Linked DNA regions of Arabidopsis thaliana. The gene in region 2 interacts genetically with the main gene of each other region. Each region holds a gene or a part of one and is shown on either strand. Other genes may lie near its edges.

Region 1 (6,008 bases), on a different chromosome or scaffold from region 2:
AAATACGATTTTGTCTGTTGGTAATTTCTAGCCCTGGACAAGATGTGAACCATTTTACAGTAAGCCTTGTAATCAGGCCGGAACTTTTGTTGCTTTGAAGCCAAATTGAAAATCTCCAGACATGCCTCTGGGTTAAGCCTCAATCTACGCAGGATGGAGTTGAGAAGTTCATCTGAGAAATCGAGTGATAGATCATGTAAAGCTTCGTACCTGCCAAGTACGAGCAAACGTGAGACCCGCTCGAGTAATTCGGGTCGAATTCGCCCGTTTCCTCCTCGAAGCTCGCGGCGTAAGGTTCTCGAGGCTTCGGAGAAGCTACGAGTATAGAGAAACGGAAGCAACTGATAGGCAACAACGCGTGCCGGAGACCGTCGGAGCATCAGGAGAATTTTGTTGTCGGATGATTAACGCTGGAACCCATTAAACTTGGGACCTCAAAGTTCCGTACTTTGGAATGTGTCTAAGGTTTTAGTCGACGATTGACGACGACTACGTCGGCGACGAAGAGTGAGAGTGTGTAAAGAAGAAACCTTTAAATTGGAATTTGGTTCGGTTGGTTTGGTTTGGCTCGGTTTGGTTCGATTGAATTTGGAGAGCAATAACAAAGAAAACACTGAATCTGATTCTGATGGATTTTAACAGAGGAATACAAAGAATCATCGAATGAGACTACACATAAGAATATGGTCGAGAGTACATTTTCCACCAAAAGAATTAGAGCATATAATAATAATCTACCAAGGATCCTATAAATAAAGTAGAAGACCTTGTCCATTTGGGTTCTTAAACCGGGAATCTACCGGTCATCTGTATATGCTCAAGTGTTTTTCGCAAACCGTACTTGTGAACAGCTAACCTCCCAGCTCTGAACCCGTCTCCATAAACCGGAGAAGCATCAGACTCGATTTGGTGCTTGAAAAACTCACCAAGCTTTCTCTCGTACTGAGATCTCGGTCCCTTTTTCAGTCCTTGAGAAGAGGAGGATGATGATGCAGCATTGCTATTTGTTGAACCAGCAGCTAACTCAGCATCTAACCATTTATGAGCCATCACTTGACATATACCTTCTTCAACATCTTGGCTCAGTGTTCGGAATCCTTTTTAAGACCAAAACGAAACAAGGTTTCAACAATGTGATCAACAGAAAGAAGCAGTAATATAAGACGTTAAGAGGAGTAGTAAGAAATTCACCTTTGAGCCTCATCCACGCATGCATCATCTCATGAGCTAGAATCGAACCAGTAAGTAACCTGAACAAAATTCAGCAAAACCATCAATGCTTGAACTGTGACATAAGATCAATTCAATGGAAGCAAAAAGAGTCTTTTTTACCTAGGGAGCCCGAATAAGATGAGAATGGCGGTAACTTCACATTGCCGTGTTAACTTGTAAGGTTCTGTAATATTCCCGGCCCATTTTCCTGTGCCATGCTTTGATCGCTTTCTTACAGTACTAACAGTTTGTTCTTCTGAAAGGCAGAGTCCTCTTGTTTCTGGCATGTGATAGTGACCCTAAGAAGCAAAATGAAAAGGTTTAATACTTTAGAAACAGAATGTGATAATAATTTCAAGTATTAGCTTAGTACTGGATAATTGTCTTTTCTTTACTTACATTCTTTTCACCTTCTCTGGCTTCGTTAAGTGCTTGTCTCTCAACCAAGAGGAGTGGAACTTCCTGCTCTACCTTCATGTTGAGTCCTTCATAGAAATTTTGTATTTGCAAGTACAGAGGTTGGCATTGCATGGTGTCCATGACCGCCGAGTCCAAACACTCAAGGCAAAGTTTCCGTCCATCGTTAAGTTCAACATATCTCGTATTCCGTGGCTACAAAGTATAGCTAAGTTGTCAATTACCGGCTAAAAAATGTTTTCACTTTTGAGTAGATGATGTATGTTTGGGGACATATTAGAGGAGAAGAAAACCCACCTCCATTCTTTCACAACTGCAACATCTCGGGGTAGCATCGTGTTCGTGAGAAGGACAATACTTCTGAACCCAAAAAGGATGTGCCCTATATTCAATAAGACCAGCATGATTTGTTGGTATCTGTTCAAAGAATTTACATTCGGGAGAAAAACAAAGCAACAGACGATAAGTGTAAGATCCGGAACAAAACAACAACACATGAATATATTTATGGGCTAAAATGATAGAAAAGGAAAGAGGTTTACGTACAAAGTGGCTGCAGACATCACATTTAGGATGATATCTCTCCCTGTAACAAGCCTTGTGAAAAGGGTAGTTCCCTGATGTTGAAAACTATAGGAAAAAAGGGAAACACATTACAAAAGAAAATCTAAAGGTTAAGTAGAACCAGAAAGCAAATGAAGAGGATATGGAAGAGAGCTTGGTTTCACCTCGTACTCAGAAATCGGCTGACTGCAGCCATAACATCGAAAACATTCTGGATGCCATAGTGAATTAAGGCAATTCAGAAATCTTCCATGGCCAATCTCCATATTACAGCCAGCACAAATCCTATGCAGACAAGTTGTTGACAAGTTATTTGGCTGCTGGACACTAAACTAACACATCGACCAAATTAAGCCAGCTAAATATGATTGGCTATCTAAATACCTGAAATCCATTTGAAAAGTAATAGGTCTTGGATAATAAATATCTCCATTTGCATATACATTTCCTCCTCCATACATATGTCCATTCCCATATAAATCTCCAGCTCCATATGCATTCCCATTATCATATGTACTTCCACTTTTGTGACGGGGTGAATTCCCAACTACCATACTTTCTTGTAGGGCTCTAGCAAGTTGCTCATCTTCATCCACCGGCATCGAGTATTTCCCTGTGTCCATTACTTTTTTTAAAGGAATTGTAGCAAACCGAATCCGATAACAAAACCATGTCTTCATATATCTGTTTTGGCTAAAACAATCCTGAAAATGAACTCACCGCTTATACTTGTCTGTTCTTGATTCTCTTCTAAAAGCGACAATGCAATTGCACGGTCTATGTCTTCATTTTCCTGGTCATTCGATGTATTATCCTAGTAAAGAAAAACCACAAAAGTTGAAATAACAGTACAGACCAGAGCTATGATAAACCGTCAACTATATATGTGGTTCTTTTCACTACTTCATGATCCCCAAACTCACCTCAGATGTAGATGGTTCCTGAGTATGATGAGGTTCATCATTATCAGCATCTGTATCCGCCGCACTAGGCTCATCATCATGTGAAGCAGTCGGATAATTATCGTAATAAACATTGTGATTGTGCTTATTATTCCCAACCCGGAGCCTTTGGTTAGAGCCTTTAAAGATCTTGTTAAACCAACCCATAATGCCTAAATAAAACTATCTGCTCATACGGCAATGCAGCCTGCAAAATCGTCGAATCATCTCTGATTAGCAAAAACCCAAAACAAACTTGTTTCACTTCCAAACATCAAAAGCCACAGAACAATAGCACTTTGAATCTAACAACAATAACTAAACAACCCTAAAACCTGTCACCATTAAGCAAACGAGTTCCAAACGGATTTGTTTTTTGTTTTTTTTTTCAAAAAACCATGAAATTAGAATCCAGACATGGAATTATCAAGTAATTGCAGCTGCAAAGAAGCTAAAGATCGTCCCTTTACCTTGAGAAAATCCTGAATCAGATAAGATCCCAATAAGCTTCACGAAACCCCCACAAAATCCAGAATCACAAAAATGATCTAATCAAGCAAGGGAAGCAGCAAAAGAATCTCAAAAAGGACTCTTTAGTTCTCTCCTTTCTTCAAAATTTGGGGAAGAATCTATAACATGGGGGAAAAAAAAAAAAAAGAGAAAAGAAAAGAAAAAAGGAAATTAAACTTTTTTTATATAAAAGAATGCAACTTTGACAAAATCAATGTCTACTCATACACGAATAAACCCAGAATGTGCTTGAATTCTACGCTAATCCAAAGTCAAAAAATTTGGTGCACTCACAAAAAAAGAATAAAAATCGTATTTTTATTTAATGAGGATCACGAAGAAGAGATCGAGAGTATCGAATATTTTGGAACGAAAAAAACAAAAGAGGAGAAATGAATTAAAAAGTCTTCGTGTCCGAAGTTTTTTGGTCGTTGAGCTTGTTGAGCTCTTCTTCTTCTTCTTCCAGGAAAAAACGTTCCCCACGCTGTGATTTAGAGATAGAAAGAGAATTATAATTATACTATTACGCAATTTAAAAGTCAAATAATTATTTTGTTTTGGCAATTTCTTCCATTTTGCAACGTTTATGCAAATATCTAGATATTTAATATTTAATTATTGCTTCAAGCCTTAAACCAAATCTTCTACAAGTCGTAACGCATTTATCCGGATTGTCGGGTTCTAATTCTAATAAGATTTTATATATTTTTGCTAGAAAACATTAAATATATTTTTTTTATAATTTTCCACTAAATTGTAAAATTATTTATAAATATATATTTTCTTTATTACTAAATGATTTATTTCTAAAAGATTAATCTTTTAAATTTTTCATGCAATATTTATTGGATAATATTAGTGAATTGTAATTTTCTAAAAAAATAGTTAATTATCATTGATTTAGAATAATAGAAAATTGTAAAACACAAAAAATAATAAATTTATAATCAATATTTAATATATATATTTTTTTAATATGTGTGTTTTTCTAAACATCAAACAAAAACGCATAAATACAAGAAAAAATGTATAAATACTAATTAACTGTTTAAACCGTTGTTGTTTCAATTAATTGTCAAGTTATCGAATTTTAGTTGATAGATTTTTTAACCAATACGATAATTAGAATTTGATTTGAACCAAAATCTAGGCTCCCATAACTCACTCACATTTTATTGATATGAAAATAATATTATTTAACTTTTGGCTTTTCAGCGTGATTTGTAATTTTACCAATTGCCAAATAATTCAGCAGAAAGCTAAGAAATGAGAAGAAAAAAAATTGAAAAAGAGAAGTACATATAATGAATTAATGATGTTATTACTTATTCCATATCGAAAAGGTGACAACAAAGGAAAAAAAGTTGAAGAAAAGATTAGGAAAAAGTTGGTGAGGCGTGGTTTTGTTAAAATATTACAAGCAAACACAATTTATTAATTTTATATCATAACTTTAAATTAGAAAGTAAAGTATAGAGGTGAAAAAAGATATGGAAAGGAAATTTGTTGATTTATGCAAAAAGTAAAAGTTCAATCATGTTTACCTTATTGACATATTATAATTTAGCATACACGTACGATATACATTACATGAATTCATAAATTATAAACTACATGTATGAGTGTCAATGTCACAATGTGATATCGTTCATCATCACTTTACAATATTATTAAACGAATAATTTGGTAATTAAGTATGTGAATTTCTTCTTTATACACTCGCGGAAGTTACGGTGACCACGGAAAGTGATAGCTTTTATGGGCTTTCACAGGCCCGTTATTATTTTGAATGTAAAAAAATCGTATCTCGTTTATAGGCTTTATAAGCTCATATATGTAACAAATTTTTACTTCATTATGTTTCTAACCAGTAACCACGACCTTTATATAAACCCGCATACATTACTTAACCACTAGCCGTCTATTGGATCCGACGATTTAGCTATTACTACTATTACATTCTTGAGATAGCTGAGTTTGGGTTTGTCATGAACAAGTTGTTCTTTATGTATGATACAACTTGTATATTACTTCATACCTCATTTTGGTTTGTAATACTGAAATCATTTGAGCCTCGTTCTTTTTTTTACGAAAGCTCTACCAAACCATTCAACTAGTTAGCTTATATTAATTTTCATGTCTTCTGCTTATTTTTAACGTTCAATGAAGTTGCAAATTACCTTATCTCACAAGTTCACACAACACTCATTTTATTTTTTACATACTCCAAGAGAAAGTTAATGGGCCTCGATTTTTTCTATAGGCCCATTATTATTTGAACCATTATGCTCCTATCGATATAAAAGTGTACTTTTGGTAATATTTTTGCTTAATCGTTTGATCATTTTGGTCGTAGAGTCTTTT
Region 2 (7,116 bases):
ACATGCATCAATGGTCTCTCAAGAGTCATATTATTTGCATAAGTTGATTTGTCCCTGCAAATTCCAATACAAAGCCTTGTGGACTTAATTAAGATAATAGATGTGAAAATTCAAACACATGAATCTGTTTAAAAGACAAAATAAACGTGGCATTATATCAAACATCTTGTAATTTCATATACATAAATATCAAATTGATATTTCCCTCTCTTTGAGAACTGTCCTTACGAATTCGTTTCTAAATAACATGTTTTAGATCCTAACTGTTTGTGTTCTTATGTGATGGTTTTTTAGGGACCGGTAGGTACAACGTGACTCATTCTTGTGAGAATCCAAGTTTTGAACTATGATTTAAAGTCACAATATATGGTTACCATCTCAAATTTTATGTAGAGTGCAACTTTTTCTTGAATTGGCGTGTGTTTGGTCTTCTCGAACTTGCTTCTAACGCTATTTCAAACTTGGAAAATTTTGATTTTCACTCTTTATCATCTTGTTTGTTCAATGAGATTAGCCGTTTTGTTTGTATATTGGGTGTGTCCAATTATGCTCTTTTCTTATGTTATTGTTTATGAATAACTTGTTGAACATTTTACTTATCAATTCACTCCAATATATCCTAAAATTGGGATATGCTCAAATCACATCTAGATCTCATGATTCATATTTCTATACCATTCTTTCGATTTTGATCTTGTTTCTGTCTACACCTCCTGTAAAATATATTTTTTACACAAAATGTATTTAAAACCCATTATACAAAATAATAAACTCCAGTAAAGTGAAGAATTACAAGTAGAAGAAAAAAAAAAGACATCTCGTACAAAGTCAGAATTGAGAGAGCCCTAAACACAAGGAAAAAAACAAGAACAACAAGAAAAAGTCCACTTTGTTTGGTTTTAGACAAAAACAGTAACTTACTTTTTTGGTCAAACTCTGTAGAAAGAATCAATCTCCCTTGTAAATCTCACCCTCCTGTCACCATCTTCCCTCCGTCACTTTCCCAATTTAATTTATAATCAGAAACCCTACATATACACCTAGGTTTAGGGTTTCGCTTTTTCAGAGAAAAATAGTTTCTTTTTCTTCAAGTTAAAAAAAAAAAATTATTAATCTGGTACGCTACAGTGCACCGAAATCCCATAGATGTATAATACTCTGAGCCGTTGATGAAGCTGACGCAACCGCCACATGTCTATCATCGGCAACAATGGCGTCAACTTCTCCTACTCTCTCCCTAATACTGTACAGATACTCTCCTCTCTCTACCTCCCACACGCGCATTATACCACCTGCGCACATTAGCGCGTGCAGTCTATTAACACAACCCATTACTCTTCTCTGCGCCGCTCCACTAACACGGAACTCACACACCGTTTGTTGCGTGTTCACCCTTCGCACGCTAGCGTTTCCTCTACTGTCCAATCTAACGTACGCTTCGTCGTTGGCATCGAAGCCTGTCACTATTAGTCCTCTACGTTGCTCTTCGTCTTCTCCGATGATCACTCCTTGGTTTCTTAGATCGATCACCATGATTCTCCATCTCGTGCATGCTACCGCCGTCTCGTTACCGGAGATTCTGAGACGGCCAAGGGACGTTGTTAGCTCTGTTAACGTGTGCCATCCCATGACAGCTTCAGGGTCGGTGAGTGTACCACCGACGAATGTTGTCTCTTCGCTGTTACAGTCCCATATGTGAAAGGCACGACCTGGCACACCCGCGAAAAGACCGACCCACCAACGTCCACAGCCAGTGAAATCTACCAACGCACCGTCGTTAACTATATCTCCTGCGTAAGCCGTGCGTGTGTGACCAACACCGTCTATTTCCGCCACGTGGATGTCTCCGTCCATCGTAGCGAACGTGAGCCTTGAGTCGGAGATAACAATGCCTGAGACGGCTCGTGAGAATCTACCAAAGCGGTCACGTAGAGGTGGCCGTAAGGTCCTGACGTGGAGTCGGTTGTTTAAAAGAAAAAGCCGGACGGTTCCGTCGGCGAACCCTGCGGCTAAGTAGAGGTCTGAGAGGGTGAGACAACGGCAAGAGAGACTATCAGGCTCGTCCACATCAGACGGGTCAAATTGGAGAGTGAAGTAGGTGTGAGTACGCGTCCGGAAGTTTCTAGCCGTCCGATGACGGTAGATGAACTCGTCCCGCCACGTGTCGTGCATCAAATGTGTTCTTGCCCAAACTTGGCGAGATAGTAGTTGCCATAGATGGTCGGAGCGAGAGACAGCGTGCCACGTGGTGCAAACCTGCGATTAAGAAAAATTATTATAAGTTTTAACAAATATTATAATTAGTAGCTTAATTAATAAATGTATAAATAAGGGAGAGAGTAAAAAAAGACATAGAAAGAAGATAAGTAGGCCTGCAACGAAGCATGAAAGACTCTATATATAGGGACTAGGAAGATGGAAAGACAACGACAGACTCAGACACAAGCTCTGCGTAATATTTGTCTTACTCATCGAAACACACAACTCATTTTTATAAAAATCTATTTTATGACATATGTTCAATTGACGGGACTAATCAATCTCTGGAAGCTATAGATAGAGATATAACAACAGAAGCCCTAGTGTAAAAGGAATAATGAGAGGAAGCCCTAGTCCCATGTCAAAAGAACAAAAAACAAATCAATGTGACAATAATACAAAACAGATGATATGTTAATTTATTAGGACAGATGAGAAGACTTTAAATGAGTTAAGCTGAACATGAGATTCCGACTTTGCCAACAAGCGTGCCCTTCTCTCTTTCATTTCCAAGAAAGGATAGCTTTTAAGCCTTTGGTCTTGTTAAAAGTAGAGCTTCCCATAAATACACAAATATTACACTTATATATAGTAGATGTTTCTCTGTCTCTCTCATCCCTCTCCAACAATCCGTGGACCTACATTCTCTACATTTACGTTTATATTGTTATTTATTGTACATCTTTATTCCTCATTAAACGCAAAGTAATGTATTTGACTTCGTACTCTAGCTCTATAGTACAACCTAAAATCAAATATTTCGAATTCTATACGAAAAGAAAAGATATCTTGTCAAACCAAAGGTTTAATGTCTATTAGTCAGATAATCATTATAAAAAAAGAATAATCTAGGCACTAGGGCACGAAATGTAACATAAAATAGATTAGTACAACAAATAACATATGATGGAATGGCAAATCCTATTTATTATTATGCAAATTACCAATCACATCAATATGATATACTTCAAATAAGAAGGGAAAGAAAGTAGTTCAAATATTCCTGAGTTCTAAGATGACCAGATTCAGAATATCACTTTTGTATTTTAATGTGTGATATATCAAATGTAAGAACATAGTATATAATCTATAGACACCACTGCACGTGCTCTAAGAGACCCTTAACATTGGGTTCCATGTGCTTTTCGGCATATGTATGCCCATAATGTCGTCTCTTTTGACTGAAAAAAATTAAGGAAAGAAAAAAAAAAGATAAAAACCCACTTCAATGGAAAAGATGAATCGAGTCAGGAAAAAAGATAATTCCATGATCAATTTCAAAGTAAAAAACAACAATGAAAACTCTAGACTTATAGCCTTAATTCTCTGACAAAAGTGTTATGCTGTAACTACACTGCAGTTTCTTAAAATTTTAGGGCAAATTTGAAAATTCAATTAATTAGAAAATATTATGGGATTTAATAATGATTTAGAATTATCATGTATACATAGAGAAGTGAGATAAAATAAGAGAATGAGAAGTTGTCAGAAGCTCTGCATGCATTACTCAGTGGATCATAATATTGGCAGAGAAAAAAATAACAAAAGCAGGACGCAAAAAATGTACATATGTACTTATATACTATTCCTCGTTACTATATATGAGAAAAATCTTCAGCATAATATATATATGTATTATTTGTTTTTTTATGAACAAAAGAAAAAACAGCTATTTTCATATATAACATAGGATTATTAAAAAGAATAATATGAATGCCTGATATAATACATGGATCATATATCTGTTGATGAATAGAGTTTTCATGTATGTAGAAAATAACCTAATGTGGTAATATAGGACTAACATTGGCAAGGCAAAAAGACAGGACCTTACTTAGGTTTCTTTTCATTCTCTTTTTAGATGTTGTTAAATGTGCAACGACATTTTCTAGTTTTATGAGTCTGTCGTGAGAGGTCACTTTCTATTATTATAATTTTAAAACAATTAGCAGATAAATACCGTTATAATTATAATTCTAAAAAATATTAAATCTATTGGGCATTGGACTAAAGACTGTGCCTAATGTCTATCAACCAATATTTGGAGACAAGAAAGTGTTTAATTTGATTATTATTGTAAGAACTTTTGAGTCAAAAAGTGGATTTCTTGATCTTAAAAAAGGGCTTTCTACATGCCAAGAAAGGAAGATTTAAAGCCAATAAAATAAAATAAAACCTTGATTTTGTGCCCTAAGGGATCCAATTCATAATATAATATTAATATTAGAGTTACTATGCCCAAATGTTGTACAAAGATTACACAAACGAGATGGGGTTGTATGGTCTCCTTAGAGGATCCAAAAATAGACATTAAAAGGTATCAAAAGTAGACGAGAGAACAATGAAAAAGAAATAAACTTATTGGGTAAAAATGGAAGACAAAAAGTTTCTAAATACATAAAAGAAAAACAAAGTCCCCAAACTATATGATATGTGAAAGAGACATCAAATTAATGTCGTCTTGTTAGACATAAAAGTTGGACTTGGACCCATCATAGAAACACAGAAAGGGCGGTTACCTTTCCAAAGGTCAGTTTTTTTTTTTTTTTGTCTCTTCAGAATCCCAACCTTACAAACTAATATCACATTCAATCGAATTGAAGTAACATCATCACTTAATTATGATCTAAAGAGTAAGAATTCGTTATACCAAAAAGAATTAGAACGGCAGAATCAAATCTAAGCTTAGAAACAACTAAAGTACAAGACACTTGAAACAAGCAGTACATTTGACTAGACCAAGATTGTGTCCCTCCACTTAAGTTATTATAGACCCACGACTACTTTGACTTTGTTTTGTCTGCATAAGATCTATGTCTCACTATTTTCAAGTTCAAATATAAGCTAATAAACGAATTCAGATAGTGTAACGAAAATATTACTTTACTACCTGAAGTACATATATATATAGAGAGACACGAGATAATTGATGTGTCTCGACCGTTACAAAACTAAAAGAAGGTATTCAAAGAACGTTAGAACTGACCCGAAAAACGTTGGCAAGAGCCGGAGCTGCGGCGAGGAGGCCGGCGGATGTGGAAGCGTTAACGGCAACTTGAACGGCGAGAGATTCAAGAAAAGGCTCCGGCCAAACATCGTTGGCTCCGCGGCGAGGGCGGGATGGAGATGGGGCCTCGAAAACGCCGCCGCTTCCACCGGCTCCGTTGTCGGAAGAAGAGGAGGAGGTAGACATGAGACGAGAGGGGTTATAAGAGGAACAGGGGAAGAAGAAGAAGCGGAGAGAGGAGAAAGAATGGTGGGGGAGAGAGGAAACAAAGGACAAAAAGTGTAGATAAAGACATACTTCTCCGAGGTGGGGGACCCAGGTTGTGAAGGTATGTTTTTTTCCTATTTTTATTTTCTTTTGTCAAGATTTGTTATTATTTGTTTTTGTTTATTCTTAATAGATGCAGATTTGTTTGTGAAATAGCTTCAATTTTATATTTTTTAGGAAAAGTATTGGTTCAGTATGGTGACATATTTCAAAATTTCTTTCTTTTGATATGCAGATTTTGAATTATAATGGCAATATAACAGCTATATTATTATAAATCACTAGATTTATATTTTGACGATTTTTTATATTTAAAATAGTGTTATATATCATTAAGAATTCAACAATATATTTGCTAAGTTTATTTCCTTCCGCGAACATTAGTAAATTTTTTGTATATGGTAAACTATTGGCTAAACACAAATATTTGTAGATCGATCCATTTTAAAAATGAGAAATAAAATAATATGTATACGCAAAAAATTTGTCAGAGAGATCAAACTCGTAGCACCAAATCTCGACTTTCATACCAGTAGTAAAAACTTTTAAAGCATAGTTTAACATATTTTTTTTTCCCAACATACTATTGTCATTATAAGTAAATAATTTTTGGAAATCTGGTTAAGCATATTCTTATCATTACAATCCTCAAACCTAGAATTCGCCATATTCTGTCATCACAAAACTTAACCCTACTTTTTCTCATATTGCAGCTATCACGATCCTCAAAACCACGGTTCATCGTGAACTTTAGTCCAAACTCATCACAAACCAACACATGAGCATGCGATGCTTTTAAGTTTATTCCTCAATCTAAATATAGAAATATTTACATTTTCTGAAAATTATTCATATATATAGTGCTTTTATATAATTACAATTAACATTTTTGATTAGTATTTTTTAGTTAAAACATTTTTATTCTTTTTTAATTAAAAATAATTAACGAAATAATGATGAATCACGTTATTAAGAGAGAAAAAAAAATAAAGCCACATTATTAACGTCACTAAGAGGAACATTTTGGTTTTCCTCCCAGACATTGTTCATCTTGGGAAAAAAAAATGTCTTCTCTTTTACTAGGTGTTTATCCGAAAACGAAGAAAACCTATTTCTCGTGGCTATTCTCTCTTTCTCTCGTCTCTTCCGCCCGAAACTTTTAACGTCGTTGTCATCGAGTCACATTTCGTCTCAACTCAACTTGTTTCGATATGTGTCAAATCTTTATTTCGATTTTTCCGACAATAATCAGACATCTAAGTTCAATAGCAAGTGATTCCCATGATTAAAACCATTTTCTAAAACCACTGTTATGATATTGATGGTTTTTATCGACGCTTATTACGGCTGATTTTTGCCGTCGATTTACATATGGTGGCTGATTTGTTATTTCTATTCGATTTGATGGCTGAGTTATTGTATGCTTTAGGACTGATTTATGATTTATTAATGCATATGTGGTTGAGTTTGTTTTGTGTTGTGGCTTGGTTACTGTATGTTTTATGACTGATTTATGATTTATCAATGCATATGTGGCTAGGTTTGTTTTATGTTGTGGATGAGTTATTGTATGTTTGACTGAG

The links.
Region 1: of SAP (region 2) and DA1, a change in one rescues a mutant of the other (synthetic rescue), as found in Arabidopsis thaliana (one study listed by BioGRID).

What each region holds. Positions count from the first base shown.
Region 1 is NC_003070.9:6,660,621-6,666,628, reverse strand, and holds DA1 (DA1), read right to left. Parts: upstream 4,213-6,008; 5' UTR 3,605-4,212; intron 3,343-3,604; 5' UTR 3,303-3,342; coding exon 3,117-3,302; intron 3,008-3,116; coding exon 2,914-3,007; intron 2,807-2,913; coding exon 2,578-2,806; intron 2,479-2,577; coding exon 2,358-2,478; intron 2,260-2,357; coding exon 2,176-2,259; intron 2,047-2,175; coding exon 1,927-2,046; intron 1,825-1,926; coding exon 1,612-1,824; intron 1,512-1,611; coding exon 1,333-1,511; intron 1,251-1,332; coding exon 1,192-1,250; intron 1,098-1,191; coding exon 784-1,097; 3' UTR 597-783; downstream 1-596. Other genes in the region: AT1G19290 (Pentatricopeptide repeat (PPR) superfamily protein), read right to left, coding at 1-380. UniProt on the Arabidopsis thaliana protein: Ubiquitin receptor that limits final seed and organ size by restricting the period of cell proliferation. May act maternally to control seed mass. Acts synergistically with DA2 to regulate seed size.
Region 2 is NC_003076.8:13,935,335-13,942,450, forward strand, and holds SAP (Transducin/WD40 repeat-like superfamily protein), read right to left. Parts: upstream 5,534-7,116; 5' UTR 5,453-5,533; coding exon 5,246-5,452; intron 2,257-5,245; coding exon 1,123-2,256; 3' UTR 752-1,122; downstream 1-751. UniProt on the Arabidopsis thaliana protein: Transcriptional regulator involved in the specification of floral identity. Acts as A class cadastral protein by repressing the C class floral homeotic gene AGAMOUS in the external flower organs in association with APETALA2 and other repressors.